2 linked regions of the Mytilus edulis genome follow. The protein of the gene in region 2 purifies or fractionates together with the protein of the main gene of each other region. This does not show direct contact. Links are inferred from orthologs where the notes say so. Each region holds a gene or a part of one and is shown on either strand. Other genes may lie near its edges. The genes, in order: mitogen-activated protein kinase kinase kinase 7-like and ubiquitin carboxyl-terminal hydrolase CYLD-like.

Evidence for each region.
Region 1: the proteins of ubiquitin carboxyl-terminal hydrolase CYLD-like (region 2) and mitogen-activated protein kinase kinase kinase 7-like purify together in Homo sapiens (affinity purification with western blotting; 4 studies listed by BioGRID, with this or other methods). This does not show direct contact. The link is inferred for Mytilus edulis from reciprocal best matches to the Homo sapiens genes CYLD and MAP3K7.

The regions. Positions count from the first base shown.
Region 1 is NC_092353.1:40,919,162-40,935,923, reverse strand, and holds the start of mitogen-activated protein kinase kinase kinase 7-like, read right to left. Parts: upstream 8,473-16,762; 5' UTR 8,333-8,472; coding exon 8,279-8,332; intron 6,713-8,278; coding exon 6,530-6,712; intron 5,651-6,529; coding exon 5,605-5,650; intron 4,840-5,604; coding exon 4,701-4,839; intron 1,905-4,700; coding exon 1,780-1,904; intron 903-1,779; coding exon 774-902; intron 442-773; coding exon 384-441; intron 1-383. Other genes in the region: PAX3- and PAX7-binding protein 1-like, read left to right, coding at 15,596-15,809. UniProt on the Homo sapiens protein: Serine/threonine kinase which acts as an essential component of the MAP kinase signal transduction pathway. Plays an important role in the cascades of cellular responses evoked by changes in the environment.
Region 2 is NC_092348.1:95,287,590-95,305,165, reverse strand, and holds the start of ubiquitin carboxyl-terminal hydrolase CYLD-like, read right to left. Parts: upstream 7,225-17,576; 5' UTR 7,080-7,224; coding exon 6,618-7,079; intron 41-6,617; coding exon 1-40. UniProt on the Homo sapiens protein: Deubiquitinase that specifically cleaves 'Lys-63'- and linear 'Met-1'-linked polyubiquitin chains and is involved in NF-kappa-B activation and TNF-alpha-induced necroptosis.

The sequences.
Region 1 (16,762 bases), on a different chromosome or scaffold from region 2:
ACAATGTGAGTATAAATTCAATCATAGTATTACTTCAGGGCTATTCTAGAAAAAAATGTATGGGGGGGGGGGGGGGGGGGGGGTTGGAAGGCAGTTTTTGTCAGCACCCGCCACCCAGACAATTGTAATTGAGAATTATAATGCATTATAGTGTGAAAAGTTGCTCTGATACCCATCACCCATGTATTATTAATATAATGTGCCTTCCACCCCCCTACATTTTTTTTTCTGGAATAGCCCTCACCTAAAATTGTATACATATATTGTCCATTTGACTTCTGTGTTTGCAGGAAAAATTGTACATGTGACTTTGTAATTTAAAATTAAATACATGCATACAACAGTGTGAACTTAATAAGACTGATTACAGAATCTATACATACCTGACCATAAGAAGTTCTAGAGGTTTGGGTAAATTACTTATCAGTGGAGGCCTTGTACCTGAAATGCAAAGAAATGAATTCAAAATTAAAATTCATAATCAATACATATGACAGAAATTTATTTTATAATGTTATTGTACCCAGGGAAGGCACTTTGAAAATAAGGTAACCACCTCTCAATATAAAAAAAGAAGATCACTGAGGCCATTCTTAAAATATCATATTTATTTTTAAAGTAAAAAAAATATTTTGATACTGACCCAATACAAAGTTGAAATTAAGGAGGAATAGATTGGTACAATTTGTATTCAGTAATAAATATGTGAAGATATAACCATATTAAAACACTTTAAGCCCATTGTATCTCACATGTGAAACATTACTATTTACCATTATGAACAGCCCACATTATTCTGAAAGCAGGTCCTCCTATTTCATCAAAAGGCTTCCGTCTAGTAATCACCTCCCATAAAATTATACCAAAACTGAACACATCACATTTTTCACTGTACATATTTCCTGGCAAAAGAAAAGAATATTATTTAAACATGGCATGCAATTGAGTGCTTCTAATCAAGATAAGTTATACTGTATTAAAGTGTAATTACAAGTAAAAGATGTTGTTGAGGGTAATTACACCCTGGTTCAAAAATTTTGTCATAATCAGAATCATTAGTTTATTTTCATGAAACTTTTTAATCGTACAAAGAGGGTATGTAGATCTGAAAAACAATTTATTTACTTTATATAATGAACAATGGTGGTTTTAGCATACCATATTTTATATCTTGGTCCTTCTCTGCGAGTCCTGATCACTCATTTTGCATAAAAATGGCTAAACTAAATTTAACTTTAACCTTTTTTACAATCAAAAATTAATTTCCAGAAACACTTCAAGATCTCATTTAAGGTTGCCATTCGAGGATCTGTCAAAATATGTTTTTCATTTGATGGTTTATACACCAAAATGAAAATAGCATATGTAATCAGATAAATGACCATTGTTTAGGATGTTGTTGAAATATTACCCAAAATGCACATGACTCTTTAATGGTGAATTAAATATTACCCAAAATGCACTTGACTCTTTAATGGTGAATTAAATATTACCCAATACATTTGATGGTTGATGGTAGATAACCTTCAACAGTACCAAGAATACACTAGATTCTTAAGTGAGGGGCTTAAAGGGGGGTATCTGCACGGAAGAACGCGAAAAAAAATTGCCATTTCACGATGAACGAACAATTAAAAATGTCTTGCACGTAGATCTTTTTACCGATTTCACAAAACACAGTGAATAACGAACCTTTTTCACGGCTGCACGTAAAATAAAAATGGCAAAACACGTTGCACGAAAAATAACCCTTTACCACCCTCTTAAGTAGTTAATTACCTTCAAATACTTCTGGTGCCATCCAAGCAGCACTTCCTTTGTTATTGGTCATGTGTGTCTGTATATCACAAGCTGTACCAAAATCACAGATTTTCAGAACTGTCCCTCCCATTATTAGAAGTAAACTGAAAATATGTTAAAAAGTCAATAAAGTTACAAAGTCCATGAAGTCATCAATTTTAATTTAACCTAATGTACATAAAAGGAATGATTATGATTTTTTTTTATGATACATATTTAATGATTGGTACTACAAAATTTCAATTCTTTCAAAAATAGTACCATTACCATAAAATGAAATGTTAGGTGAATCTAAACAAGACAATAAAATATAATAGAACCCAAGGACAAAAATAACAGCCTTCAACAACAGACAGTTTTCCATACAAAATGTTTAGTTGGAAATTGTCACAGTCTATAAAGTGGTGGAAAAAATTTAACAAAAACAATCAAAGATTCATACCTAAATCTGCAAATGATGAAAAACATTTAAATATGGCATAGCAGTACAGGTATAATTCAAATGTGTATTGGAATGTAATATGATTATTGATTGACTGCTGACAGCGGATTCCATTGAGTGCAGTGGTCTCGCTAGCCCAAAATAGAAGGGCGCCGCGCCCTGGGTGCCCTCAGCCGCGCCCTGGGTGCCCTTAGCCGCGCCCTGGGTGCCTTCATCCGCGCCCTTCTGCCCTGACGTCTTTTCCCAAAATTATCTTGTGCCGTTTTGGTAAAATTACGTTTCATCGATTTCTGATCTCCAAGTTAATTACATATATGACACCTGTGTGATTGCCGGGCCCCCAGGTTAATCATGTCATTACAATCAATTACAATGATAAAGACTTCAAAGGTGTTAATAACTAGGTAATTTAATTAGGACAATGTATCTTTTTGTCATACTTTTGATGAATGTGTTAGCGAGTGTCTTTTAGCTTGGGTCGGCATTTTCGATCTCCAAGTCACAATGGAAGAGGGTATATAAATGAAGACTTTCATGACTTTAGAATTGAATTTAAGTCATCAGAATAAAACTATGCCTTTACAGAAATGCCTTCCATCTCAACTTGTTAGCGACAAGCACAGTTTTTAATTAACCCAAACGTGGTGGAAATTGATTTTGGAGTTACTTCCCCTGTTTTAGCTTATTACAAATTGGTGCTCTAAAAATATTATCTAGTATCAAAAAAAGGAATAAATTACCAATTGAATATACAATAACATAATAATGTTACCTTAAAGATATTAACTGTCTTTGGACATATTAAAAAATATATATTGCAATTTCTACTTGATAATTATACTTTTAGCAATCCATGTTCTAAACATTGTTAAATTAGTAATGCTCTCAATTGCTTAAGAAATAATAAAAGCTGTAATTCCTATATAGATAAAAAAAAAAAAAAAACCCACATATTCTTTGATAATGGGTAGAGTGAAGTTAAACTGTAAAAACATAATATGTTGATGAAGATGTACAATATCATTCATAACTACACAAACAATGAAATAAAGACTATAGTTGAAAAGCATCTTTATTAAAAAAAAAAACATATACAGTAAAAAAAAAAAAAAGAGATTCGTTAACTCGTGATACACACAGAAACGTAGACAAAGAAATGAGCAGTGCCTTTTCTTATCATAAAAAGTGCCCTGCCCTCCAATGGCACCCTGCCCCTTTTGATTTCTAGCTAGAGCACTGGAGTGTGTAGCCAAAGGTAATATCTTTGGTTAGCTTGCTTGTTAGCTGAACCGTGAAGTCTTTATAAGGTAAGGTATACTACCCTCCTTTCAAAGTAGCATAGTCCAACAGACAGATCGATTGGTTTTCTGTTGGACTAGTCTATTCTTAAAGTAGGGTAATTTACCTAACCTAACAATGACTTCACGGTTCAGCTAACAAGCAAGCTAACCAAAGATATTACCTTTGGCTTCACACTCAATGGATTTGCTGTAATATTATATGCATTCTGATATTGTTCTTATACAACTACCCTAAACATAAAAGAAGATGAGGAAGAGTAAGCTCACAAAATTTTCATTAATAGAAATTTCAGATTAAAAAAAAATTGCATTTAAATAAAGACAATAATCTTAATTAACATTATTAACAAATCTATTATTTATTGATCTAGGTGTAGCTGAGAAAAAGCATAATGTAAAATAAAACAAAAGAAAAACACATCCTTTCTAACTTGCTGTTCAAAGGGAGATAATCAAAGTTTTTCTCAGATCATATAAACTATTGTTGATGAAATTAAAATTAAGTTGTAACCTTTTTGTGTTATTTTTAAATATGTTATTTGCTGTAGGTTCAGATATATTTCTAATTGGATGTCTTCTCTTGAAATGAATACTTTATCTAATAGTTAACTGGTTCAATAATAATATTTAGTAGAATATATTGCATGTATATGTAATTTGAAATACTTCATAGGTTTCCATCAATCAGATGCAACAAGGAATAATGTCAAATTATCTTGAGTATAAAGAAAGAAGAATTGGATGGAAAATAATGGAATCCAATTGTGGATGTTAACTCTGAGGGACATGCTTTTATACTCCAACAACTATCAGGGAACAGTGATGTACATGAATAGTCTGTGAATTAATTTATTTTCCTTGTTTAATTTTCTTGTATTTGGGAATAATTGATTTTTTGGGGGCTTCTAATTTTCCCAGTTTAACAAATTTATAAATGTGTATTTCATTGATTTTCCAAATTTGAGGTTCATTGTACCAGTAAAATGTGTATCCCGCTAATGATTATGTATCCACAGTATATAAATAAGGTTTTGACACCAACATACTTGTAAAATCATTAGACAACTTTTTTTTGTCTTCTTATGGCCCTTTTTTTCTTATGGTCTGTCTTTATCATATATAACTTCTTTATTTAGGTACGCTTTTTCTATACTTACTTTGGAGGTTTCAGATCTCTATGGATCAATGCTTTCGGCTTCATGCCATGTAAATACTCCACACCTATGGCACATTGAAGCAACCAGCTCATGGCATGGGCAGTGTTATAAATTGGTTGTGGACCAGCACCATGAAGCACTACAATATACAAGTATATTAGTTTTAAAGCAGGTCGAATAAGGAAACAATATTTAACATAAACAAAACAAATTACTATTTTGTAATTATTCCAATGAATTCAGAAATTCAGAGGAGTAGAAAATTTCTTAAAATTATGCAATGCGACAATAGAAATCTACATTTTGTACCATTTGGTTATATTTATGATCCCTTTTGACTCTTGTGGAGAATTGTCGCATTGGAAATTATACAACATCTTATTTTTATCATGTTTATATTATCAGCAATTATTAATAATCATATTTTTCTTTGAACATTGCAATTGGTTGTGATTGAACAAGAATCGCTAGCTGTTCAGGAGAATCAGATTTTATCACTGTTTTTTCAAGGCTAAATTCTATTTTTTGGGTTTCGTCAAGTTTTTGTTAGCTTAGACATTTTTCTTTTTTTATTTTACAATGAAATTGACTTTCCATTTTAAAACTTATAACCTTTTTCGAGCAATTATGTAATAAATCAAATGTTCTTTTTGTTCTATTGAAGAAGCAGCTGTTTCATTTAGAAAAGATAACTCAAGACACATTTTGCAGCTCATCTTGAAAGTGCCTGTCCAGGAGATTTTTAAGAAGTGTTTCATTTCATCAAAACCAGAGGATCTGGAAATGTCTTCAAAACAGAATGTAAGACAGAACATGTACATTGTCTGAAACTTGTAAGCAAAATGTGGACACAGCATCTGTACTTCAATAAGATTGACACACCTCTGTTGTTTATAGTACCTACCATTATACAGTGAGCCACCTTCAGCATACTCCATTACAAGACATACCTAAAATAACATGCAATCTTTGTACATGTATAATAAAATATCTAATATATATATATATATATATTAATATATTTTCTTTGTCTGTTTATGTTGTAATGTAACACCATGGTCTAAGGTTAGGGTGAAGGTTGGTGCCTGTTTAAACCTACTGTATTTTTTAAACACCTGTTCTAAGTCAGGAGCCTGTTGTTCAGTGGTTGTTGTTTATTGGTGTGGTTCATAGGTGTTTCTTGTTTCTAGTCTTTTATATTGATTAGAGATTTGGTGTTGCCTGTTTGAATTGATTTACACTAGTCATTTGGGGCCTTTTATAGTTTGCTGTTCCAGTTAAGCCAAGGCTCTGTGACTGTGTTGAAGGCCATACTTTGACCTATAATTGTTAATTTTTTTATACATTGTGACTTGGATGGACAGTTGTATCATTGGTAATCACACAGCATCTTATTTTTTATAATACATGCTTCCCTTTATTAATAAATACATGCAGAAAATATGTGTGAAAAAGATGACTTTATATCTGATGCGAAATATTTTCAGATTTTCATCTCTTACCTATGTCTACAACCAAACACATCTTTTTTAACTTTTTTAGTTTGAAGTTTTTTATTCTTTCAAAGTTTCAACTTGGAAATATTTCTTTTAAATACAGTCTGCACCAAAAACTTTTTCAACTACTAGTTCGAAGACCAATATTCTGACATTTTTCTTATTAGTCCAAACAAAGTTTTGCAAAAACTTACTAGTCTGAATGAAATTTTACCAGTCTGGGTCATCGGACTAGTGGCTAACTGTGCAGACTGTAAATATCAGCACGATCAGGTGTACCACAAACATGCATTATCATCATGATCATATTTAAACCATATACAATGTACTTACTGTTGGTGGTTTAGTACAAGCACCATACAGTTTGACTATGTTAGGATGATTAACTCTTGACAGCTGCTTTAACTCTGTCATAAAAGCTTTCCTCTCGGATTCGGTTTCTATTAGTTTTACTGCAACATCTTTTGATCTCCATTTTGCTCTACTGACAACTCCAAATGCTCCTTTCCCTACAACCTGCAAAAAAAATTAAAACAATATTATTTTAAATAAATGATTGTCATTCTATCTATCAACAACAATACAGTATATATTTCCAACATTACATCTTCATTGTACAATGTATCAAACTCAATGATTTTGTACTAAATTTTTAAACTGCAACTTTTAAACAATGGACAGTTGTTTGAGATTAGACATTCTGGTGTAAATGATATATAAGTATATGTTGTACATGTACAAATATTTTTTTCAAATTTAAAAATTTAAAAAGTAAGTTATTTATTGGCATAAATGAAAAAAAGTTGAGGACTAAAAATTTGATCCATCTTCCCACAAGAACAATTTTGTTTTTTGGTCAATATTTCATATGTACATGTAAGCTATAGTAAAGTAAGATACATTTACATATGTACAAATATATATACATGATATATGTCATGATCAAATGTAACAAAATAAACCACACAAAACCAAGTAAATTCAATCAATATCATGGAAACACAAATTTATTTATGACATAACATTAACAGAAATATAAAAAGAGTTTAATATAAAGAATTTTTAGATGATAAGAATAATAATGATTCATGAAGGAAAGCCAAAAACTCTTTCTCAAGCATGACAAGTGGTAAATTTAGCAACTACCAGCTGAATTTATTGGTTTACAAATTTATAAATTTCATTTCTTTAGATAATGGGTATCCGGTCGTTCTGTCTCCAAACTAATCCGGCCCAAAGTCGATCCGGCCCACATAATAAAATATTGAATAATCTATACTGCCTTAGGCAGCAACTGGGGGGGGGGGGGGGGGGCTATGGATTTTTTTGGAAAAAAAAGTTTGTTTCCAGTTTTTGGAGAAAAAAACAATTTGTTTTTGATTCTGAGAGAAAAAAAATGTTTAGTTTCCCCCTTAGCTGCCACTATATGTAATGCTAAAATTGAAAGAAAAAATTGTTTTCGACTTGTCGCGAGAAAAATATATTGTTTAGTTTTTCGCCACAGGCGAAGAAGAAAGTTTGTCCAGAAAAAAAATCTGTAGCCCCCCCCCCCCCCCCCCAGAAAATCAAATGGTTGCTGCCTTAGGAGATTTGGTGACAGATTTAAATCAGTATAAATGGAATTTGTAAAATCTAAAAGTATCGATAATTGATGACATTGCTGTATTTTGAATCGATACGAAAATGAGTGCAATGTGTCTGTTTAACCATACATGTCAAAGATTAATGAAACAGTAACTTTTTGTACTCATTTTAAAAAAAAATAAACACACATGTTACGGCCTAACTGACAGTTTGGCTGTACTGGCGGACACATCTTGAATTTGGAAGTTGAAGCAGCGGCCGAATTGTCAATTTTTTAGAGCTGTACTGTAGAATTATCATATAATCTAAAAGGTTTTTGTCCACCTGATTACTACTCATAGTGGTTGACAATGCACAAACATAATGTAATCGTATCTTTCATAACTTTATGTCTACTCTAAGCTATAATAATACAATGGAGAATATGATTATGAAAATCAAAACATGGACAGGGTTTGACAGACTAACATATATAAACAAATATACAAGAAGCATAACCTCGTAGAATTGTAGTTCTCGAAAGTCTATCTCCTCCACAAAAGTGGGTTCCATTTTAAGTTAAATACTCATAAATCTACGTTCGTCTTTTCCATGAAATAGGTTTTAAAAAATCCCTGCCCATATTTTGGTCGAACTGAAAGTGGAGGAACTTGGGAGACTCGTTTTGGAATTAGAGCAAATCATGTTACACTGATGTGTTCATGTTATGCAGTCGATATCAACCTAAACCATAATTCCGGAATCATCCGGAAGTTACCGAACAAGCGCGATTGTGAATACGACAATCGCATGTTCATGTTCATGTTAATTAAAGTGATATTGGTGTTTCAGGATTAAAGATTTTGTCAAACGTCAACGAAACAAGTCTTTATAAAAGAAACGTAAAGGATATGGCGTGACACAAATCAGCACATGCATATTTGTTAGTTAATGACTACTTACTAGTATATGCGTACATGAAAATAGACGTTTCGGCCATGGTGTCAGTTCGGCCTTGCCAACGGTTAATTAACATTAATTCGATTTAAACTTAAGTTTGGACACTCTCTCAAATGTAATTGGAATTAAATTATAATCAACTAATTGAAAAGTTAACGTCGTTTGGACGGTGCAGTGAAGAGAATTTGACACGCATTGCATCTACATCTACATCTAAATCTATACTATTGATCTGCAGTGGACATCCATAACGCAGATACTGCTGTGCAAACGTCAACCTGCGTGCTCAGTATTTACAATTGCAATTAAAATTCGATAAAAACAGGTGGTTTCTGTTTACAGCTGCAGTCTCCGAAGTTGCTCCTTGAAGCTTTCCAGAGACTAGCTTGGAAGGTTTCAAGAATCAGGCTGTTCCAGTCAGTGATGGTGCGTAGTTTGTAGCTGTAATTGTAGGCATCTGTGGAAGTACTGATCTGAGTGAATTTTCTGGATGGTATTGTCTATAATAATAATAATAATAATAATAATCATAATCATTAAAATGATGATGATGATGATGATGATGATGATGATGATGATGATGATGATGATGATGATGATGATGATGATGATGATGATGATGATGATGATGATGATGATGATGATGATGATGATGATGATGATGATGATGATGATGATGATGATGATGATGATGATGATGATGATGATGATGATGATGATGATGATGATGATGATGATGATGATGATGATGATGATGATGATGATGATGATGATGATGATGATGATGATGATGATGATGATGATGATGATGATGATGATGATTACAATACACAATATATACGATACATAAAGACAATACTAACACATATATGGTAAAATATATTGGCATTATTTTGAGTGCAGTATCCTTAAGTGTATGAAAAATTTGCTGACTGTATTTTATCAGGGATAACGGCCATGAAAACTCTAAAGCTTGTTTCCAATGGGGTCCCTTCATGGAAACGGCTTATAGTTTCGACATACAAAAAAGATAACACAGAAATCAATATGACATAAAAATTCTTATAAAAATAATTTATATAAAAATATGATTAACAATATAAAAAGGAGTCTGATGACGCCGCACTATAACTTTTGGCCAAGTGCTCTTTGACGCTAATTTTGAATTTCTTTATTTTCTTTATTTTTTTTAACATTAATTGGCAACATATTCCAATCTTAATTGTATGCCATTAAAATAAAATGTGTCTTTAACTGGAGGAACCCAGAAGTTATATTCCTATGGCATTAATAATTTTAAAAAGGTTTACTTTTATAATGTGAAATGTGTATACTGTATTATTGATGGTGAGACGTTAATAAATTATTATTGTATTATTGTTGCACTATTTCGTGTGAAATGATGATGTAAATTTCTCACCGTTGTATAAAATTTGAATAATATAATTAGGACAATGATGGTAATAAATATTATGTATGATGGTTTAATCTCAATTGTTTAACACGATTTTCAATATTAACATAACCAATACTATTCAATACATTATGGTCAACTTTTGAACTATATCCAGTGGTTTTTTTTTTTTATAAATCTAACACATTTGTTTTGTAATACTTGTAACTTATCTTTATATTTTTTGCTGACACCAGCATACCATGCAGAACAGGCCTATAGTCAAAATGACATTGAATTAAAGCTGTAACTAAAGTCTTTCTTGATTGTTCAAATAAACATTTTGCCTGTCTGTATAGGAACTTCAATCTTGAATTTATCTTTTGAATAATAGTATTTAAAAAAATTTCTCCAGAAAGAGAATTATCTATATTAAGGCCTAAATATTTCACACAATATTGCGAGGAAATTGTGTGATTTTTACAAGTAACATCAAAGTTACGGATTTTAGATAATTTACGTTTTGACCCAAACAGAATAGTTTCTGTTTTCCCCAAATGAAGTGATAATTTATTATCAATCAGCCATTTGCTACAAGATTCAAGTTCCTTACCAAGTTTCTCAGATATAACTTCTGGGTTTTTATGAGAGTATAGTATGGTACTATCATTTGCATATAGTAAAATTTTGCAGTCTTTACTAATACTTATAGACATGTCATTAACATATAGATTATAATATAGGAATAAAAGTGATTCTTAAATACTCCCTTGTGGTACTCCACATGTAATATATCTTAAATCAGATTCAGTACCATTTATACTAACTTTTTGTTGTCTATTACATAAATATGATTCAAACCATTTATTACATTTTTTGTAGTTTGTTGCACAATATAAGATGGTCGACAGTGTCAAAGGCTTTTTGTAAATCTAACATTATCATTCCAGTATAAAAACCCTTAGCAGTTTCATTTTTAATATGATCTAACAAATGAATAAGACATGTATCTGTAGAATAAGCAGATCTGGAACCAGCTTATAAATTATAAAGTAGATCATTTTCCACCAGATATTACTGACGATCAATGCATTGAATATGTACATATTGTTGGAATCCCCCTTTCTCCTGGGTTGGGAACCCCCTTTTAAATGTGGCTCGATCCGCCTCGATCAATTCCAGTCAGTATTTACCAAAGAAAACCTAAATAACTTTCCAGATAAAGGAAAAAGTCCATACTACACCATGAAGGACATAAAAATTAGTACCAACGGAGTCCACAAATTGTTAAAAAACCTGAAACCGCATAAAGCTACTGGTCTCGACTCAATACCAGCCTTTATACTGAAAGCAGCAGCAGAACAACTTGCTCCGATACTCACAGACCTATACCAAACATCATTGAACACTGGTGAAGTCCCGCAAGATTGGAGAGATGCCAATGTAGTTCCACTTTTTAAAAAAGACGAAAGGCACCTAGCATCTAACTACAGACCAGTATCTCTAAATTCAATCACGTGTAAGGTCTTAGAACATATTGTACACAGCAACATCATGGACCACTTTGACAAAAATAAAATACTAACTGATGCATAACACGGGTTCCGCAAAAGACGATCACGCGAATCCCAACTAATCGTAACCATCAACGACATTGCATCAAAATTAAAAAGCAGCGGCCAAGTAGACATCATCCTGCTAGACTTTGCAAAAGCATTTGACAAGGTACCACATCACCGCCTCCTACACAAGCTGGAATACTATGGCGTCAACCCCAAAACCAATAAATGGATTCGCTCCTTCCTACATAACAGAAAGCAGAGCGTGATATTAGAGGGTGCTGTCTCCTCACAAGTACCAGTACTCTCTGGTGTACCCCAAGGCACAGTCCTTGGTCCATTACTGTTCCTGGCCTACATAAACGACATGCCAGAAACAGCATCTACATCAGAGACCAAATTGTTCGCGGATGACAGCCTACTCTTTCGTACCATCACCAACCAAGCTGACAGTGAACTACTTCAAAAGGACTTAACAGCATTGGAAGACTGGGAAAACAAATGGCAGATGAGTTTTAATGCCAAAAAAAATGCCTTGTCATCAGAATATCCCCAAAAAATAGACCAGTGATACAAACATCGTACCAGCTACACGGTCATACTCTAGACACAGAGGAAGCAAGCAAATATCTTGGAGTAACTATCAGCAACAACCTAACATGGGATAAACACATAGACAATACAGTAGGCAAAGGAAACAGAACGTTGGGATTTATACGTAGAAACCTCAAAGGCTGTACAAAACCTGTAAAGGCAGCTGAGTATGTATCCATGGTAAGACCTGCAGTGGAATACGCAAGCACAATATGGGACCCAACCGCCCAAAATAAAATCAAGGCAATTGAACAGGTCCAGAAAAGAGCTGCACGATTTGTGAATAACAACTACACAGACCGAACACCTGGCTGTGTCACAAATATGGTTAAAAATCTGAAATGGGAAAGTCTAGAAGAACGGAGGAAAACAAATAGATTATGAATGCTATTTAAGATCCAGCATAATTTTATAAATATCGACCGTCACCAATATTTGACACCGAATGATAACCGGACCAGAGGTAAAAACCGCTTCTTCCAAGAAAGAACAAGTACAGACACTTACGGCCAATCTTTCTTTCCGAGGACAATCAGGGACTGGAACAACCTACCAACAACAGTTACAGCGACCAACACCGTTGAGGGATTCAGATCTGCCCTGAAGGCATGCTCTGAAAGGAAGTAGGAAAACCCAGTTGTAAATAATTTTAATTGTATATTTTTGCGAACGTTTTAAATGTATTTGTAAATAGCCAAAAGAAAGCTTTCTGTGTTGCCCGACACTGCGTAAAGTTTTCGCGCGGAACCATGAACATTCAGTATTGAATCCGGTTCCTTACCTGGAAGAAGAACGAGATATTCGTGTAGCGGCCAAAAGTATACAATGGTGGTAATATCTGTAGGGCAACATATATAAATAATATATATGATATCTGATACCGGTATATCCACTATTTTAACTTCATTTTTCGGTCCAAGTTCCCCTGTTTACATGCACAGACATTATTTTATTTTTTACATTTCTGGTTATTATAGAATTAGTTTTTCCGGTCGTCACTGAATACAAAAAAAGTTTGAAATAGAAAATTTGATCATATAAACCAAACATGATCGTTTTAGATTAAAAATCAGACATGAAATAATATGTTTTGTTACGTTGAAGGTTTCCAAAGAACTTGACGTGTTATAATGTAATAACTCTCAGAACCCTCTCATGAGCCATCACTGTTTCTTTACAGTATGGATCAGGCATTTGTTAAAGCCGCTTAGATACTACCATATATTTGCTATAAAATCACATATTAATTAAATAATTGAGTAGATATAAAAAGATGTGGTACGAGTGCCAATGAGACAACTCTCCATCCATGTCACAATTTGGAAAAAGTAAACCATAATAGGTCAAAGTACGGCCTTCAACACAGAGCTTTGGCTCACATCGAACAACAAACTATATAACGGGTCCAAACTAAATAACTAGTTTAAAACAATGCAAACAGGAAGATCAACGGTCTAATATTTATTAAAAAAAATAAGAAACACTTATAAACCACATCATTATCAACAAACGATAACCGCGGAACAACAATAGCATTGTTCCTTATGATATCTATACGATGAGTTTATTCACTTAGACCCGGTGCAAAAAATAACCGAATTCAGTTTTGTTTTGAAAATGGAGGCAAATAACCATCACATTCCTCTAGCTACTTGATGCAATGTTGCTTAATTGCAACAGCTGTGATTTATAAGCCAACTAGGCAAAAGCAATTCATTTTTTAAAAGATCAAAATTAAAACAAAATGAATATAGTATATTTGTTAGAGTCCTTTAGTTTAAACATAATTATTTATAGTGGATTCGGAAACAGTTTATTGGTACTTATATTAATCCCTTTCTACTTTGCGGGTGCGAGTGTCTTGTAGCGGCATTACTGCGGCCTGTTTTTTTTCGAAATCTATAAGGGTGTACAGTTTACGTGTAAGAGATATCTCTCTCTCTCTTAACATGGGTAAGCCATTTATCGTCCCCTAGCTTCTAACGGACTATCATCTTTTCTAAAGACCATATACTCGCAAATGGTGTCAAGGGAGAGTCCTTTCTTATTTGTGATGAAACAAACAGAACAATGATGAACAAACAAAGAGCAACAATTATTTAGACGCAATTATGTAACGTTATATTCTTCTGATCTACGCCTGATTACTTTATTAACATCAATGAATAAGAGTTGATTCTTGAAAAAGAAACCATGGGCCCGGATTTTAGAACAATGAATAATGGTGACTTTTAAAGTAACTATAAGTATATCAGTATGCTATTATGAGTATATTAAAGGCATTTTCGTTAAAATGGGAGGGTTTTTAACTGCAATTCCCATTATGAGTGACCGCATGTTGCAACCTTACCGGATCAGTGTCATCACATGCATCATCCCCCTCGACAATATATTAAAAATATATAATTTTGTATAATTAACTGGGACTTTTATCTTATATACGCGTACGGTCTGGCTAATATTAAGAAGTTAGTTCATTAGATTCAAATGTAAATAACAGATCAACAAATCTTATATTTCAAATTAATACAAAAAGTTCAATAGATATTGAAATGAAACTGACTTAATATTTTAACTTTTTAAAAAGGTCACGCTAGTTTAATCTGTTAATCTCCTGTAATTATATTAGCATGGCAGTAATGCTCATTGAAATTGAAGTTAACGGATGTAAACAAAATGAAGGGGGACAATTGTTTTAGAATATTTGGGAACTTTAAAACAAGAATGCATATGCAAAGAAACATGCATGAACTGCAAACATGTAAATGTAAAAAAAAAAATAATAACATTGTGGTAGTAAGTGTCAACTTGAGCGAGAGTACATAAATAGAATCATCAGATATAGAATTAAACAAACATTTAATTTCAATTGTACGCTTATTCCTTTATCCATCTAATGTAAAAATAACATCTTGTAGAACTAAAACTACAAATGTTTGGTAATTGGTTTTTCTTTCTTAGATTTAATCCATATGATATGATACCTAAACATGTATGGTCAGCTGGACCGTACGCGTATGGTCGGACCACACGAGTATACTTATACGGTCCGGGCCGTACGCCTACAGTCCAAATACTCGTATGGTCTGGAACAGTAAAACTAACTATAATGCGGAGCCGGAAATACATTATTACTCGTTTTGCATTTGTATAATTTAAATATCTGCGAACAATGAAACAAAAGGAAGTATAAAAGTAGAAAGAATCGATTGGTATGTAACATGCCGACTGTAAATTAAGCTTTTGATTCAGATTTGATTTGATTGATGTAATTAGGGTTACCAGATGATTATTTCAAATCAACACTTTAGTGTATGCTGTTGAAGCAACATGGCGACGTTTAAAAAGCCGCGACGTAATTTTCGAGGTAGAAAAATTGTAACAGAAGAGGAATCAGACGAAGAAAAGGATGACGATGTACAAGAAATGGAAGTTGACGAACAGTCTAATGATGCTGAAGGACCAAAGCTTTCCAAAAAATCAAAGAAGAGTAAAAAAGAAGCGAAATCGTCTTTGAGTTTTGTCCATGATTTACAAAATGAAGGTTAAAATATATATTATTTAGATATCTGTAATTATATAAATAAAATGCATATCGGTCATGCGTGACACCTACAATTTTGGGTGTCAGACCTCTTCATTGTCAATATTTTAAACTTGTTCTGAATGTTCATTCAGACTTTTTGTAGTTCAGTGAAAAGGGGGGGGGGGGGCAATACACTTTATCGCTAATCCCGGCTGACCCGACCGCTTGAACTTTTGATGCATATAACAATCACTTTTCCATTGTGGCGTCAGATATTTTGCTTTATGACGTCAAAATTTTACGGGAACCTGTGTGATATCCGTGGCCAGCATGTCTCCAGTAATGTCGGACAAATAGCGATAAGGTGTATAGGGGGTCCGTTAACATGTTAACAACACCTCAAATTGGACAAAAACAGTTAACAACAAATGCAAAAATGCTGATAGCTGTTAACAAAGTGGGTTGAAAATAGTTAACAGTTAAATCAATTTTTTTTTCTAATATAGGATTTCGATATATTTTTTTATAAATGAACTTTATCATATACTTAAAAGAAAAATGAAATAAAAAGATGGGGTCACCGTTCATTTAAGCTCACAATCTGCCTCTGGAACAAGCATAAATTTTTGTTAATGTCCTTTTTTTCTGTTGAACTAATAGGAGAAATAGATGTAATATCGAAATAAAAAAATAACCTAATTACAGAAATCGCTTAAATTTTACAATTATTTAGTTTATGTACAGCTTATTTGAAAACAATAATAAAAAATATAGGTCACCGATGAGTTAAAAAAGATATTTCAAATTAAATGACAAAAAATGGCATTTTTGCACCAAAGGGAGATAATTTGGAGCTTTTTCAATGATATAAACATTTTAAAAGTCATCTGGGACCAAACTGAATCAATTTTTTGGGTTGATTTTTGTACCATATCATAAAGTTATAACTAATAGTGTAATAAATAAAACTT
Region 2 (17,576 bases):
TACGGAATACTCCATCACAAGTACCTTTACCTCTATGTTCCTGTAATACACAAAGTCATAGGTTATTGAGGTTAATATTTGCTTAAACATTCAGAATGTACAATCAAACCTGCTGTTAAGGTCACTGCTATGAAGGTCACTTCAATTAAGCAAAAACCTGTCACGTCACACTCTTCTTGTCCCACTGTAGTAATACCACATTCAGAAGTCACCTCTCTTATGAATTCATTATACTCTTGATCAGAAGGTGACCTTAAATCATAGTTTAGTAACTCTTGTGTAAAGTATATTAGTTGTGTACAATGCATATAACAAATGAAGATGTGGTATGATTGTCAATGAGACAACTCTCCACCAGTGACCAAATGACATAGAAGTTAACATCTATAGGTCACCTTACCTCACTCCTTCAACAATGAGCAATAAAGAAGCTGGTGTGCATGGTCAGTTCAATATCTTTCAAGATGTTTTAATTATTGGGGAAAAAAACAAGCTAGGTTGTAATCCCAATAATTTAAACTGGCATTTTGGATTTGATGGCAAAATTCTCTCAGTATCACAATAATATTAAGTCATTTTGGGATAAAATGACAAATTTGCAGCAATAATTTGCATAATGAAATTGAGAATGGAAATGGGGAATGTGTCAAAGAGACAACAACCCGACCGAAGAACAGAAAACAGCCGAAGGCCAGGAAACAATTTCAGAATTTGCAGTACAGAATAGTTCTCAATCATACCTCATTAGCATGATAAGTTATATTACTCTCAACATATTTAGTCCAGCATTAATAAATGTCTTTCTGCTGCCTCGAAGATCATCACAACAGCAATTTGATGTCAATCACTAATGCACAAGTGAATTTACATTTTGTTATGGGGAAATGTATTGATATGATTTTGTAAAATGTCACCTGAAAGTCACAAAATGGAGGGTCCTCATTTCCCAGATCACAACAAGCAAATATTTCACTTCCTTTGGTTACATTTTGAGGGATGCAGGCTTGGTACATCCCACAAAACAGATAGATAATTAAGATTTTGTTTATTACATTGATAAGTCTGTTAGGCATGTTAGGATATCACTGACTCATTATCTTGTGTGCTTGCTGACAAAAAGATCAAAGTATCATTTTTATATGCAACAGATCTATTCAAATTATCAAGACAAGAATACTTAGAAATTGTTGAGAGAAAAAGTTTGTGTGAAAATTTGAAAATGTGCATGTCTTCCATGCATAATTTTGTGGAATAATAACTGTTTTTTTTTGTTTTTCTTGTATCAAGCAGGTCTTCTAGATCAGTGCAAGCTTGCACAATATCTTAAAAAAAAAAAAAGGCCTACATGTATGTGACATAAATATTTGATAGTATGCCAAAAAAATTACGCCTACATACATTTGTAAATCTTTAGATTTTCAAAAAATCGACCACGGAAGTTACAAACAGAAATCATTGCAATGATATTAATAAAAAAGCATCATTTACCCCACGACATGGTGAACCACTCCTTAAAATAGTGGTCTGATCGTACAAATAAAAACACAGATTTGGTTTTCCGTAATAGGTCAAAATGTAAGTGACACTAAACGATAACTTTATGTAGTCAAAAGCTAAGAAAACTTCCTTAAGGCGATTCATTTAGTTTCAATGCGGTGAAAAGTCAGGTAAAACCAGATACCAGGACATTTTTCTCGAAAGAAAAGTAAAATAATAACAATTCTATCAAGTTAAAAATAGATCTCCAACATTCCTAACCTGTCGAAATCCATTTAAAAAATTTATGAATGAAAAACTTCAAAAAGTCATGCCCCTGTATGCAGGAAATACATGAACAGTTGCAATTGGTGGCAATGATTTGTGATTTATTTTTTGCAATGTTTTTGGAGGACATTGTGTAAGTCTGATATCCAGAAAATCAATGGCAATAATTTCAGAATTGATCACATTCAAATTTGGTAATCAGATTATTTTCCTTATAAATATTTATATATTTATGCATTTATTATTTGATCCTAATAATCCTAAATACAAATATCAATAAATAATTTTTGTACAAACCAAACTGTAAAAATTATCTTCCAATTTAAAACAATGTTGAATTCAAATCACCAAATATGAGAGGTTTGGGTCTGACTATCATCTTAATATCAGAATTCTAACATAACAAGATAATCTTAAGAATCTGAGTTGTTTCTAATGTAAAGCACAAAAAGGTCAACATGGTCAAGAGCCACGGAAAGGAGTCAATGGTAAAAGTCTACAGATTGCCTGACAGCAAGTTTATTCCAAAAATGTAGGTTGTGAGTTAAAACTAAGCTCTTGGCAAGTGCATTTGACTCTAATCTTAATAGACCATGATTGCCAGTTTTCGTGTAAAGGTACAAAATGTATATCCTTTTATAAGCAACAAATAAACCATATATCTGTGACACAGCTAATATTCCAAAAAGGCCCAAAAAATCAACACAATATTTTTATGCAATGATTCCTGCATTTTGGATTCTATACATTTGTAGGTTTTGTTTGCAGAAATCTGAGGAAAAAGTTGTTACAAGAACATTTGGGTATAGGAGAAAAATAGAATAAACCAACGAATGTTTAAACTTATATATATCATGTATATATACATATTATTACCAAACTGAACAAAGAAATAACACAACGGGTGCCGTATACGGTGCAGGAAATGCCTACCCTTCCGGAGCACCTGATTTCACTCCCGTTTTTTAGTGGAGTTTGTGTTGTTTCTTATTTATTATTTATAACTGTTGATGTAAATGTCCCTTGGTTTTATGAGTCTTTGTTTACTCCTTGATTTTGATTGCTATTGTCTTATATCAGATAAACCAAAGTTGAAGGATAGGTGAATTGAAAAGATATGATGCCCTAAAACATCATGCTACATGCATGTAAAACAACTGAAATATTTATTGAAAGTTTTATTATTCAAAACTTTTTGAAATTTGTTTTCCAAAATATAAATCCATATATATATAGATATGACTTTAACAACTACTAAAAAAAGCTGGTCTGTCAATTTCTGAAAGAAAGAAAAGAATGCATGTACTTTCCTGACAAAAAATAGGACCTTGTACAATACAAGAGTGCACACACTGAAATGTCTCGCCTTCTTTACTAATCATTGATATTATGTTGATACTCCTAAATATAAAGCTTTATTATGACTGTCACATAAACTTAACATAAATCATGAAAATGAGGTCAAGGTCAGTTGAACCATATGCCAGGCAGACATGTACAGCTAACAATGCTTCCATACAACAAACATGACAAATATAGTTGAGCCTATTGCTTATAGTTTAAGAAAATAGACCAAAACACAAAAACTTAACACTGAGCAATGAACCGTGAAAACCAGGTCAAGGTCAAATAAAACCTGCGCGACTGACATATAGACCATAAAATATTTCCATACACCAAATATAGTTGACCTATGACATATAGTATTAGATAAAAAGACCAAAACTCAAAAACTTAACTTTGACCACTAAACCATGAAAATGAGGTCAAGGTCAGATGACATCTGCCCGCTAGACATGTACACCTTACAATCATTCCATCCAACAAATATAGTAAACCTATTGCATAAAGTATGAGAAAAACAGACCAAAACACAAAAATTTAACTATAACCACTGAACCATGAAAATGAGGTCAAGGTCAGATGACATCTGCCCGCTAGACATGTACACCTTACAATCATTCCATACAACAAATATAGTAAACCTATTGCATAAAGTATGAGAAAAACAGTCCAAAACACAAAAACTTTACTATAACCACTGAACCATGAAAATGAGGTCAAGGTCAGATGACACCTGCCAGTTGGACATGTACACCTTACAGTCCTTCCATACACCGAATATACTAGACCTATTGCTTATAGTATCTGAGATATGGACTTGACCACCAAAACTTAACCTTGTTCACTGATCCATGAAATGAGGTCGAGGTCAAGTGAAAACTGTCTGACGGGCATGAGGACCTTGCAAGGTACGCACATACGAAATATAGTTATCCTATTACTTACGGTAAGAGAGAATTTAACATTACAAAAAATCTGAACTTTTTTTTCAAGTGGTCACTGAACCATGAAAATGAGGTCAAGGACAATGGACATGTGACTGACGGAAACTTTGTAACATGAGGCATCTATATACAAAATATGAAGCATCCAGGTCTTCCACCTTCTAAAATATATAGCTTTTAAGAAGTAAGCTAACACCGCCGCCGCCGCCGCCGGATCACTATCCCTATGTCGAGCTTTCTGCAACAAAAGTTGCAGGCTCGACAATAAATTATGTCTGTTACCATGGTTATTGTATATTGGACTGTATGCTGCCTGTATATTATTACTATTTTTTAAATGTTTGTTTTAGCATTGCATAACATGGGTTTTTTCATGGAGTTTTGAAATTTTATACTACAAAATTAATATAACTTCACTTGTTTAACAAAGTTATAACTCATGAATAGTACATCTATGTTACAAGTTATAAATGGCACATGTATCCTTTTTTCAAAGAATTTGAATTTCATGACCTGTATAACCTTCCTTTACTTTTACATACATGTACATTTGTAAGTTGATACCTTAGTCTGCTTCGTTTGTTTTCATTGGTGGAAATTTCCATCCAGGACAATTTATAAGATGAATTTAAATTTTAAAGAAGAAACTGATGTATGTACAATGTACTCTGTAAGTAGTTAAATTTCTTGTTCATGTAAGTAAACATGTGCCATGTATGCATGATTACAGAATTAGAAAATGTAGAATTAAATACATGAAATATATAAATAATGCCTTCAATTTCTAGTATTCATCTGGCATCAGGAAAATTTAAATATTAAATATCTATACTAGTTACATGTAAAAAGTCTTATCTGCTTATACTTTTGTACAATGTACTTTTGCATTGTCACATTCTATAAACATGATAAATAATTATATTTTGTATATATTCTAACAAAATTTTCTGGGGTACTATTCATTGTCCTTATCCTTAATTTCAGGAAAAACAGGAATCAGAAATATGAATACTATAAATTCAGAAATTATTGCGATGTTTTTATTAATGCAAAAATGCCAAAGGTTTACATTGCAATAATTTAAACTCTCGTTTTGAAAAATTTATATGAACTTATTGGATATTTCTCAATATTGCAAAAATTAAGATCGCATTTATAGATTAATTTTAGTCTAAAATGACAAAATCGCGATAATAAATGCACGCAATAATTTCTGAATTATTGTATAAATTTGTTAGCTCTGTACACACTTTTTAATCAAGTTTCATAAATTAGGAATTCAATTGACTTATTAAACAAGTTACAAAAGATGACTGCATTTTAACAGTCAGGGATATAACTCTATCGGGTTATTACAGAAAAATAACATACATTTGTTATTGTGGACTGAAAAATCAAAGAACTGTGATAACATATATGTATGTTACATGTTTCAAAGGGACAATATACATCATCAGTTTAGTTTAAATGTATAAAAGTTCTCTTGATATTACTTTTGTCTATTAGTAAACTTAACTATTGAAAGATACAATGTATAACAGTTCATACATGTAGTTTGTCAATTTTGCATAGTACACCTATATCATGTATATATGTTATTGCAGAAAAAAATTGCCTGTAATAACTAAAGGGTGTTGTCACAGCTTCTCTATATCATATATATATGTATTCTTATTTATTGTAAGAAATAATGACCAGATCTAGAGCATGTAATGTCATGAATGTTCTGCACAAGTTTCTCTGTAATTCCCAAGTGTCTTATATCATGTATATAAAAAGTTATATTCTTTTAATAACCTAGCCTTGTTATCACAGCTAAGTTTATCCCTTAATAGCCTCCGTCTTATTGATTTACCATGGTTAATAAAAAATGTATTAATTAAATTAAAGAATTAGTTATCAAGGCTATGTATTTAGTTTCTGCGCAAAGTCTCAAGAGTTCACTAGAGCCCACTATAAATGAAATAATTTTACAAATAACAAATATATTATGTTATTACAGATTTCAAAAAATTTAAGGAATAAAGAGTAGACAACTCATGAAAGTAACTGTAATCACACACGCAAGTTATTTTCTGTACCCTATAGAGTTATAAATATCTCTGACTGTTTATGCTTTAATTTAAACATGATTTTAATAGGTAAATGTACAGGTACAAAATGTACTTTCATTTTAAATAAGTCCTGCCGACACCTCATGTTGCATTATTACTAAATTTAACTGAATTGTAATAAATTAGATTTTAGAAATCAGTGTATTTTCATCTTACCTGTTATTTCCTGACCTCTGACATAATTTAATTCAAACTTTCCATCTTTTATTTTACTTTCTGTTTCTATCTAAAATTATGTTAATAATGAAAAGCCATTTTGTAAATCTTGCATCATCAAGAACAGAGATATGGGACTCACTTCATAATGCTTGAAAACATGTTTAACAGAGAAACATGTGCAGAAAATTTTAGTAATATCTCGAATAAATCCGGATATTTTTGTCCGATACTGTTCCGCGGACTAGTATCTTATGATAAACCTCTGAAATATTTTGAGGATAGGGCTTCTTACCGGAGCTAATTCGACTCCAAATTGGATTCCTTTTTGTCCTGGTAGCTCTCCTCTATACCTGAGAAGGCCCTGTAACTCAGGGTGACCTTTTAAATAAACAATAACTCCATCTCCAACCTTTAAATTGAGGCCCTCTTGAAGCCAATTACTGTTCATGTAAACTGCAATCCTTTCACTACATACTGGGATAGGCTGTAATAGTTGTAGTTCCAATCTATCAATTTGTTTTATTTCATCGAATACTGGTTTACATTCTACTTCAATGTTTTCCGGTTCTAATGTTTCTAGGGTCCAAATTGCAATCCCATTTTCGTCCCTCTCACTATCGCTTACTCTAAGCAGAAGTGTGCCAGCTAGGACTTCCACACGAGAATATGATTTTCTAAGAATTCCTGACTCCTTCTTTTTCCCTATCTTTGTAGTAAGAAGTATATAGTATTCATCTTGAGGATATTCAGACATATCCAGTCCTATTTCATCGACATTTGTTTATATTCGTGGCATCATCAAACGGGGAATCATTATCGAACTTTGGGGAACTCCAAAACGCTTAAAATAGACTGATACGTCATAATACCACAACAAAAGACAACGAACGACATATGATACTTATGGAACGCGTAAAGCACATTAATAGATAATCACAGTTTATCGGCGACAATGATAGATTATCGGTCGACCATTATAGATGTACGGCGTAAAGTATACTTTACGGTCGACCATCATAGATGGTCTAATTAATGTGACTCGCGCGCAGACAATGATAGTTACTTCTTTGATAATGCATTTACAGTCGACAAGGTGAATTGTTTCGACAATGATAGTTAACCTCGACCAAGTGAATTAAAACACAAGTCGTAAATTTGATAATTTTAGATAAAACCGGAAATGCTAGCCAATTGTAAAATCGATTTTGATTGGCGGTCAACTTATTTTCTTTGGAAGTTAATTCCTTGAAAATAATTCCTTAAAGCAAAAGTTACCCTTTCTAAAACATGTTCAACAGGTGTTTTAAAAAATAAATTTCGGACTTCACATCCTTGTATTAACTATGATGGTAAAGTGCATCGGACTATTCGTGCAACAGAATGGACACAAGAGGAACATAGTTTCCAATTTTCAATCCTCGAATATTGAAGCTTCTTGTAAAATTTAAAAGTTCCACACATAAATAAAGTTTTGTTTTCTCTATCGTTTACAAAGTAAAATACCTTTTATTATCATATACATGTATATTTGTATTTTTTCTCTTAAAGGTTTGATTTTTACAGGTAAATGCATATTACAGGTGGCTAGATGATCACATGTTTACCTGTAATATTGCTAAGAGGTGTCAGAAGTTAAATTTCTATAACAACTGACCCCAATAAACGTTGACATAACAGGGAAAAAGTGTTTTTTAAAGAATTTTATAATCAATAAATTAATTCGAGACTGTTTAACAGTAAGAAACAAATTTTCAACATTCATAAACAAGAAATCTTTAAAGATTTATGCTCTATGGTTCTTTTTTTGTGTGTAATTATTTGGGTTGTTCTTTTGTTCAGAAATCTATATATCATTTCATATAATAATATTTTATGAAGTTAGTGTGTCTTAACACTGATTAGGACTCCTAAGTGCACTAAAAACTTATAATACGACACTCTTGACAAGAAGGAGTACTATTAAATGTAAAAAAAAATCATGTTTTGTTAGAAATTGATATTTAATGCATAAACTCAAAATAATAAAATAAACAGAATAACAAATAAATGAAGTATTTAACAATGTTAATCTTGCCGGTTTTTCTTTGATTTTACCGAAAATCGATGAACCGCAAGATATGGGTCAAATTACATATCTGATTACTCTATTATCTTAAAAAAAAATGAAAATTTTAAACTTATTTGCATAAGAAAATATCTCAGACATTATATATGTTTAACATAGAAAATACTTTAAGATTCCGTGAATATTATTTTTAATAAGACATCTATAGATAAAAGCTTAAGTGTACCTTGGTGAATTCAATGTTGTGATGTCATAGCAGATCTTAGAATACAGAAAGTTGTTACTTATAACGATATTTTTATGAATTGACAAAAAAACATTTGTCCCGGGTAACCGTCCTCCCCCTCTATGATTTGTTATTGCCGAAGTGGGAGGCTAAAGTTTAAAAAAAAAGCCGCGACCTAACACACTACAGAACAGCAGACAGTGGATACAACATTTGATATGTTTTAAAGACACAGTTGGACACAAAATGATTGCACTGGGTAACTTCAACTATCACATGATGCCCTATGAATTAATTGACATACTTGAGCTTGTCTTAGGAATATATTCTCAATGAACAAAAACGATTTCAGTAAATGTTTACTATAAAAACAGACAACAGACTTGCTGTCTTGAATACAATTGTGGCTTGTATTGTTTAATTCATTTTTAAAGCAACATTTGATCGATTGTTGGTATGTGTTTTCTCATTTTTACGGCTGTAATTTGTTTTCAGCTTTGCCAAATTAGTGGAGATAACTCAGATAAAGTATTTTTACAATTATAGAAATGACCTATTTTAATATGTAGCATTTGATTTTTTTTTTGGGGGTGGGGGGTGCTATGGATTTTTTTTTGGAAAAAAGTTTGTTTCCAGGTTTTGGAGAAAAATAATATTTGTTTTTGACCTTGAGAAAAAAAAGTGTTTGTTTCATCCTCAGCTGCCACTATATGTAATTCTAAAATTGAAAGAAAAAAATTGTTTTCGTCTTTTCGCCAAAAAAAAGTTTGTCCAGAAAAAAAAGTCCTTGCCCCTCCCCCGAAATTCAAATCTGCCTAAGAGCTATATACCGTAATTTTGATTACTTTTTTCTCAGTAAATTTTTAAATAGATATAGAATTAATGAGTGCAATTTAGAAAAAAGGAAAATTCATTTACATTCTTCAAAAATGAAAAAAAGTATTAAAGGTTATTTTCCAATATTCCCGTTGTTTGTGCATGACTCTTCGATAACTAAAAAGAAGAACCAGACTTTCATAAAAAAAATTAAGAAGATGTAGTATGATCGCCAATGATTCAACTCCAAAATAGACCAAATGACACAGAAATTAACAACTGTATGTTACCATATGGCCTTCAATAAGGAGCAAAGTCCATACCGCATAGCTATAAAAGGCCCAAAATGACAAATGTAAAAACAATTTATGCACGGAATCATGAAAACAAATATGTTTTACAGCAACAAACGACAACCACTGAATGGATCCTGACTTGGGACAGGCACATATAGAATGTGGTGGGTTAAAACTTATTCGAAGACACTAACCCTCCTAATATCCTGTGACAGTGATAAAACAGTACAACATAAGAATAAACTATAATTAAATTTAGTGGAAAAAAGCTTATATCATCAGTTGGGTACAAACAAAAATACATCTAACAAACCAAAAAACACAGAGTGCTATGACTATAGGATATTAATCAAGTGACTGCTATGATCGTAGGTTATTCTTCACGTAACTGCTTTGACTAAAGAATATTCATGATATTCATCAAGTAACTGTTTCTACTATATGATTTAAATCAAAGTAATTGTTATGATTAAAGGTTACTTATTAAGTACATGCTATGACTATAGGTTATTCATCAAGTGTCTGCTATGACTATAGGTTACTATAGAATATTCGTCATTAAACTGCTATGACACTACGATATTCATCAAGTACCTACTTTGACAATAGGATATTCATAAAGTACCTGCTATGACAATATTATATTTCTTGTGAAACTGCTATCACAATAGGATATTCATTAAGTAACTGCAATGATTGCAGGATATTCATCAAGCAATTGCTATGACGATAGAACATTCAAAAAGTTATGACTATATGATAATCAACAAGTAACTGCTTTGCCTATATGATATTCGTCAAGTAACTCCTATGACAATTTGATATTCAACAAGTACCTGCTTTGAGTTAGTATATGATATTTATCAAGTACATGATATAGCAATAGGATATTCATCATGAACTGCTTTGACTATAGGATATTCATCAAGTAACTGCTTTGACAATATAATATTCATCAAGTACATGCTTTGCCAATATGATATCATTCAAGTAACTGCTACGACTATAGGATATTCATCAAGTACATACTTTGGCAATAGGATATCTTTCAAGTAACTGCTATGACTATATGATAAACTTCAAGTACCTGCTATGACAATAGGATATTCATCAAGGAACTATTATGACGATCGGATATTTACCAAGTCCCTGCTTTGACTATAGAATATTTATTAATTCCCTTATTTGAATATAGAATATTCAACACGTAACTGCTATGACAATAGAATATTCTATCAAGTACATGCTATGACAATAGGATATCCATCAAATAACTGCTATGACTATAGCATATTCATCAAGTACCTGCTATGACAATAGAATATTCATCAATTCCCTTATTTAAAATATAGGATATTCAACAAGTAACTGCTATGACAATATGATATTCATCAAGTACATGCTATGACAATAGGATATCCATCAAGTAACTGCTACGACTATAGGATATTCATCAAGTACATGCTTTGGCAATAGGATTTCTTTCAAGTAACTGCTATGACTATATGATAATCTTCAAGTACCTGCTATGACAATAGGATATTCATCAAGGAACTATTATGACGATCGGATATTTACCAAGTCCCTGCTTTGACTATAGAATATTTATTAATTCCCTTATTTGAATATAGAATATTCAACACGTAACTGCTATGACAATAGAATATTCATCAAGTACATGCTATGACAATAGGATATCCATCAAATAACTGCTATGACTATAGCATATTCATCAAGTACCTAATATGACAATATTATATTCATCAAGTAACTGCTATGACTATAGGATATTCATCCATTCTCGTATTTGAATGTAGGATATTCAACAAGAAGCTGCTATGACTATAAGATATTTATCTAGTAACTTCTATGACAATAGGATATTCATCAAGATCTTGATATGACAATATGATATTCCTCAAGTAACTGCTATGACTATAGGATATTCATCCTTTCTCGTATTTGAATGTAAGAGATTCAAAAAGCACCTGCTTTGACTAAAGGATATTCATCAATTCCCTAATTTGAATGTAGGATATCCAACAAGTAGCTGCTAAGAATATAGGATATCCATCCAGTACCTGCTATGACTAAAGGGTATTCATCAAGTTACTGCTATGACAATATGATGTTGAAAAAGTACCTGCTTTGACAATAGAATATTCTTCATTAAACTGCTATGACAGTATGATATTCACCAAGTACCTACTTTGACTATAGGATATTCATAAAGTACTTACTCTGACAAAAAGATATTTCTCAAGTAACTGCTATCTTAAGAGGACTTTCATCAAGTAACTGCTATGATTGCAGGATATTCATCAAGTAACTGCTATGACTGCAGATTATTCATCCAGCATCTGCGATGACAATAGGATATCTTCAAGTAACTGATATGACTATAGGATGTTCATCATGTACCTGATTCGACTATACGATATTCATCAATTTTCTTATTCTAATGTAGGATATCCATCCAGTACCTGCTATGACTAAAGGGTATTCATCAAGTTACTGCTATGACAATATGATGTTGAACAAGTACCTGCTTTGACTATAGAATATTCTTCATTAAACTGCTATGACAGTATGATATTCATCAAGTACCTACTTTGACTATAGGATATTCATAAAGTACCTGCTATGACAATGTTATATTTCTCAAGTAACTGCTATCACAATAGGATATTCATTAAGTAACTGCAATGATTGCAGGATATTCATCAAGTAACTGCTATGACAATAGAACATTAAAAAAGAACCTGTTATAACTATATGATAATCAACAAGCAACTGCTTTGCCTATATGATATTCGTCAAGTTACTCCTATGACAATATGATGTTGAACAAGTACCTGCTTTGACTATAGAATATTCTTCATTAAACTGACATGACAGTATGATATTCATCAAGTAACTGCTATGACTATAGGATATTCATCCTTTCTCGCATTTGAATGTAGGAAATTCAAAAAGCACCTGCTTTGACTAAAGGATATTCATCAAGTACCTGATATGATTATACGATATTTATCAAGTAACTGCTATGACTGCAGGATATTCATCAAGTAACTGCTAGTACTATAGAAAAATTAACAAGTACCTGCTATGACAATAGAATATTCCTCAAGTAACTGCTATGACTATAGGATATTCATCAAGTACCTGATATGACAATATGATATTCATCAAGTAACTGCTATGACTATAGGATATTCATCAAGTACCTGATATGACGATAGGATATCCATCAAGTAACTGATATGACTATAGGATATTCATCAAGTACCTGATATTACAATATGATATTCATCAAGTAACTGCTATGACTATAGGATATTCATACATTCTCGTATTTGAATGTAGGATATTCAACAAGAAGCTGTTATGACTATAGGATATTCATCATTTAACTGCTATGACTATAGGATATTCATCATTTAACTGCTATGACTATATGATATTCATGAAGTTCCTGCTATGATAATAGAATATTCATCAAGTAACTGCTTTGACTACAGGATATTCATCAAGTACCTGCTTTGACTATAGGATATTCATCCATTCTCGTATTTGAATGTAGGATATTCAACAAGAAGCTGTTATGACTATAGGATATTCATCATTTAACTGCTATGAAAATAGGATATTCATCATTTAACTGCTATGACTATATGATATTCATGAAGTTCCTGCTATGATAATAGAATATTCATCAAGTAACTGCTTTGACTACAGGATATTCATCAAGTACCTGCTATGACTATATGATATTCATGAAGTACCTGATATGACAATATGATATTACTCAAGTAACTGCTATGACTATAGGATATTCATCCATTCTCGTATTTGAATGTAGGATATTCAACAAGAAGCTGTTATGACTATAGGATATTCATCATTTAACTGCTATGACTATAGGGTATTCGTCATTTAACTGCTATTACTATATGATATTCATGAAGTTCCTGCTATGATAATAGAATATTCATCAAGTAACTGCTTTGACTACAGGATATTCATCAAGTACCTGCTATGACTATATGATATTCATGAAGTACCTGATATGACAATATGATATTACTCATGTAACTGCTATGACTATAGGATATTCATCCATTCTCGTATTTGAATGTAGGATATTCAACAAGAAGCTGTTATGACTATAGGATATTCATCATTTAACTGCTATGACTATAGGATATTCATCATTTAACTGCTATGACTATATGATATTCATGAAGTTCCTGCTATGATAATAGAATATTCATCAAGTAACTACTTTGACTACAGGATATTCATCAAGTACCTGCTTTGACTATAGGATATTCATCAATTCTCTTATTTGAATGTATTTACATGTACATGATTTGGAGCAGATTTTATTTTGCAGGAATAAATTTGTATTTCAGAAAGAAATTTATTCATAAAATAAGAAGGATTAGCATTTTTTTTTAATAAAATAGAAATTGGATTCCAAAAAAAAGGGAGGGCTAGATGGGTTTTTGTTGGCATTGGATGATTTACAAAGATAAGTTGCATGTACGCATCATGATAGATGTAAATTCTGAAGCTATAATTAGTTAATTTGTTAGTTTTTCCATTTCAGTGGCATGAAAACCCCCCCAAATACTAAGCGTATAATTTCGACGAATACTCTCGACTTACAGTGTAATGTAACATTTTGCTCACATTTTTTTAAATTTTACCCCGAACATTTTTCTGAGTAAAAGCAGTTTGAAGTGAATGTCAAAATTTGAACATGACCTTGTCCTTGACCTAATTTTCTAAGTTGGGACCCAAGGACCTTCAATAAAGCGACTCTATGTTTATACGGCTTACGGTTTATGAGTTTATATGCATATCACTTATATCAAATGCATAAGGGGAAAGAACTTTGGTGCAATCCAAGTCATCATCTTGAAGATATAGCAAGCACTTTGGTAAAATAAATTTGTCGTAATTTTTTACGGTTGTGAAGGAGTAGTGGACACAAGGAAAACAGTGTTCGGGGAGATAACACTTACAATGTAAAGTGTACGGTTTAACAGGGTCAGTTTCAAAAGCGCAATAACTGTTCGATATCATATGCGAAAAAATCTAGGCGACATCTTGCGAAACCACAATACTACGTAAGAACAAAATGTGGCGGAAGAAAAACAATAAATCTCAGAACAAAACCAATAGGTCTTTCCACGGAAAAGTTTAAAGACCTAATAATCAAAACCAAATAAATGGGTCTTTCCACGGAGAGGTGGAAAGACCTAATAATCAGAACAAAATCAATAGGTCTTTCCACGGAAAGGTAGAAAGACCTAAGTAATATGATTGTCAATGAACTATGAAAGTTTTACTATTATTCTAGCAAATAACCTTATGTCATCTCCGTGCCTATATCATCGTCCTAAGAATATATGAAATATTTGCCTCTGAACGTTAATCAACCAATAATCGATAATTCATTAATATGTCAAACCATTGAAGGTAACATGGAAACTACGTACAAACTAGTATGATTGTCAATGAACCATAAAACTTATACTATTATACTACCAAACAGCCTTGTCTCTATATTATAGCCCTAAAAAAACATGAAATATGTGCCACTAGATGTTAAGCGACCACAATCAAGATTTCATCGCTATATCATTTCAAACCTTATACAGAACATGAAAACTAGTTATAAATCAATATGACTGTCAATGAACTATGGAAGTTATACTATAATACTAGCAAACAACCTTCGGCCATCACTATATCATCGTCCTACACATACATGAAATATTTGTCACTGGCATTAAAACAATCACAATCAATAATTCGTCGTTATTTCAAGTCAAACCTTAGTTGGAAACATGGAAAATAAATACAAATTAATATGATTGTCGATGAAATATAGATGTTATACTATTATACTAGCAAATAACCTTAGGTCATCACTATATATATATATATATAGCTATTTCATCGTCCTAAACATACATGAAATATGTTCCACTGAACGTTAAGCAACCAACAGTCAATATTTCATCACTATTTCAAACCATTGAAGGTAACATTGAAACTAATATGATTGTCAGTGAACTATAGAAGTTATACTACTATAAAAGCAAACAACCTTATATCATCACTATACCATCATCCTACACATACATGAGATACTTGCCACTGGGTTTTAAGCAATCAACAATATATAATTCTTCGCCAATCGTATCAAACCTTAGAAGTTACCATGCAACCTGATTACAAATAATATGATTGTCAATGAGCTACCTATGGAAGTAATGCTATTATAATACAACAGATCGTTGGCGTTTTAATGGGCGGAGTTGCCTTCCTGGAAATATTTTATATTGCTATATTTGACAATGACCATAATAATAAACAATAAAATAAAGCAATATCTTACAAAAATAATATCAAATTGCACAAAAGAACGAGAAATAATGGATTTAATATATTCAAAGAAGACGGTGAACAAAAACTATTTGAATTTAATTCCTTTACAAATTGCGAGAATTATTAGAAACAATAGCAACATGTACAAAATTTGTTTCTGAATATATTCTGTCTATAGATATTCATTGGTTATAGTTCTGCCAAATTAAAATATTTTGATTCTTTCAGATTAAGCTGTCTGCCTGTGAGGCTTACTTTCTTTTACAAATGTTTCACCGTCTATATGATTCTTTTTTGTTTCTCTTGATAAACTTTATTTAATTATGTACAATTAGATATTCACTAGACAGTATTTGTTGGCCTCTGATGAGGGTTTACCTTGGAATATTCCTGAAAGAACCCGAAACATTGCATATTAAATTCTATAGAATTAAGCAATATAAAGTACGTAGTGTCAGGTCAGAAATATTGATGCCATACCATGAATAAGTGGATTTATGGTTATTATATACACCAAACAAATAAAAAGCTACTTTCTCGGCATTTCTTTTAATTTAAAAATTAAAATCTGGTAATGATCAGTTGATATTGCAAGAAACTTTTCTGTACCGCATTTATTTGCTAAGGTTTGCTTCTTAATTACACAGTAAAATTATATGTGTCCGATTTTCCAATAATTAGTTCTGTAGCCCGAGTTGTGACTGGATTTACAGGTGTGCGATTGCGCAATTTATTGCCCTCCAATTAATCACCTGAAATTAAGCTGGAGGTGAAGTTCTAAATGGATTATCACTTGGTAATTGTTTTTACAACTAAACAAATTACTTTATTTAAACAGAAGCACTGGGCAATACTATGGTATTCAATCCGGAAAAACAATATATGTCACGGTACATATATATTATATATATGTGTGTCTCTGTTAATGATAAAAAAAAAAAAATGCACGATTTTTTAATATAAAATATTTGATATAAAAAAAAATATTTTGTTATATTAAAAATGATAAATGATGCATTAATATAGAAATTAGAAAGTAAATTATTCTACAACGACTTGTATATGAAATTAGTACCAGTTATAACTTATTAACTTTGTCACGGTAAAATTATTATAAGTATAATAATTAATAACTGTAAACTTGCATGTAATATAATTTCGTCTCAATTTTTACAGATAAACAGTATTCTAAAATACTATTAATTGTCGGTTGTTGAGATCTAGCTAGACGATCAATTTGACTTAAACGCGTTGTCATTTGAATCGATGGATATGATTGGACAAAATTAATTAGCATTGTCGATAACCTATTGTGATTGGGTACATATGAATTGCTATCGAAAACAGGGCGTAAATGCATTTACGAATCGCCCGTTAAACTGTAATTATCCAATAATGTGGTTCCCGCGTTCCTTTATTATAGATTGTCGACTGTTAATGCATTTA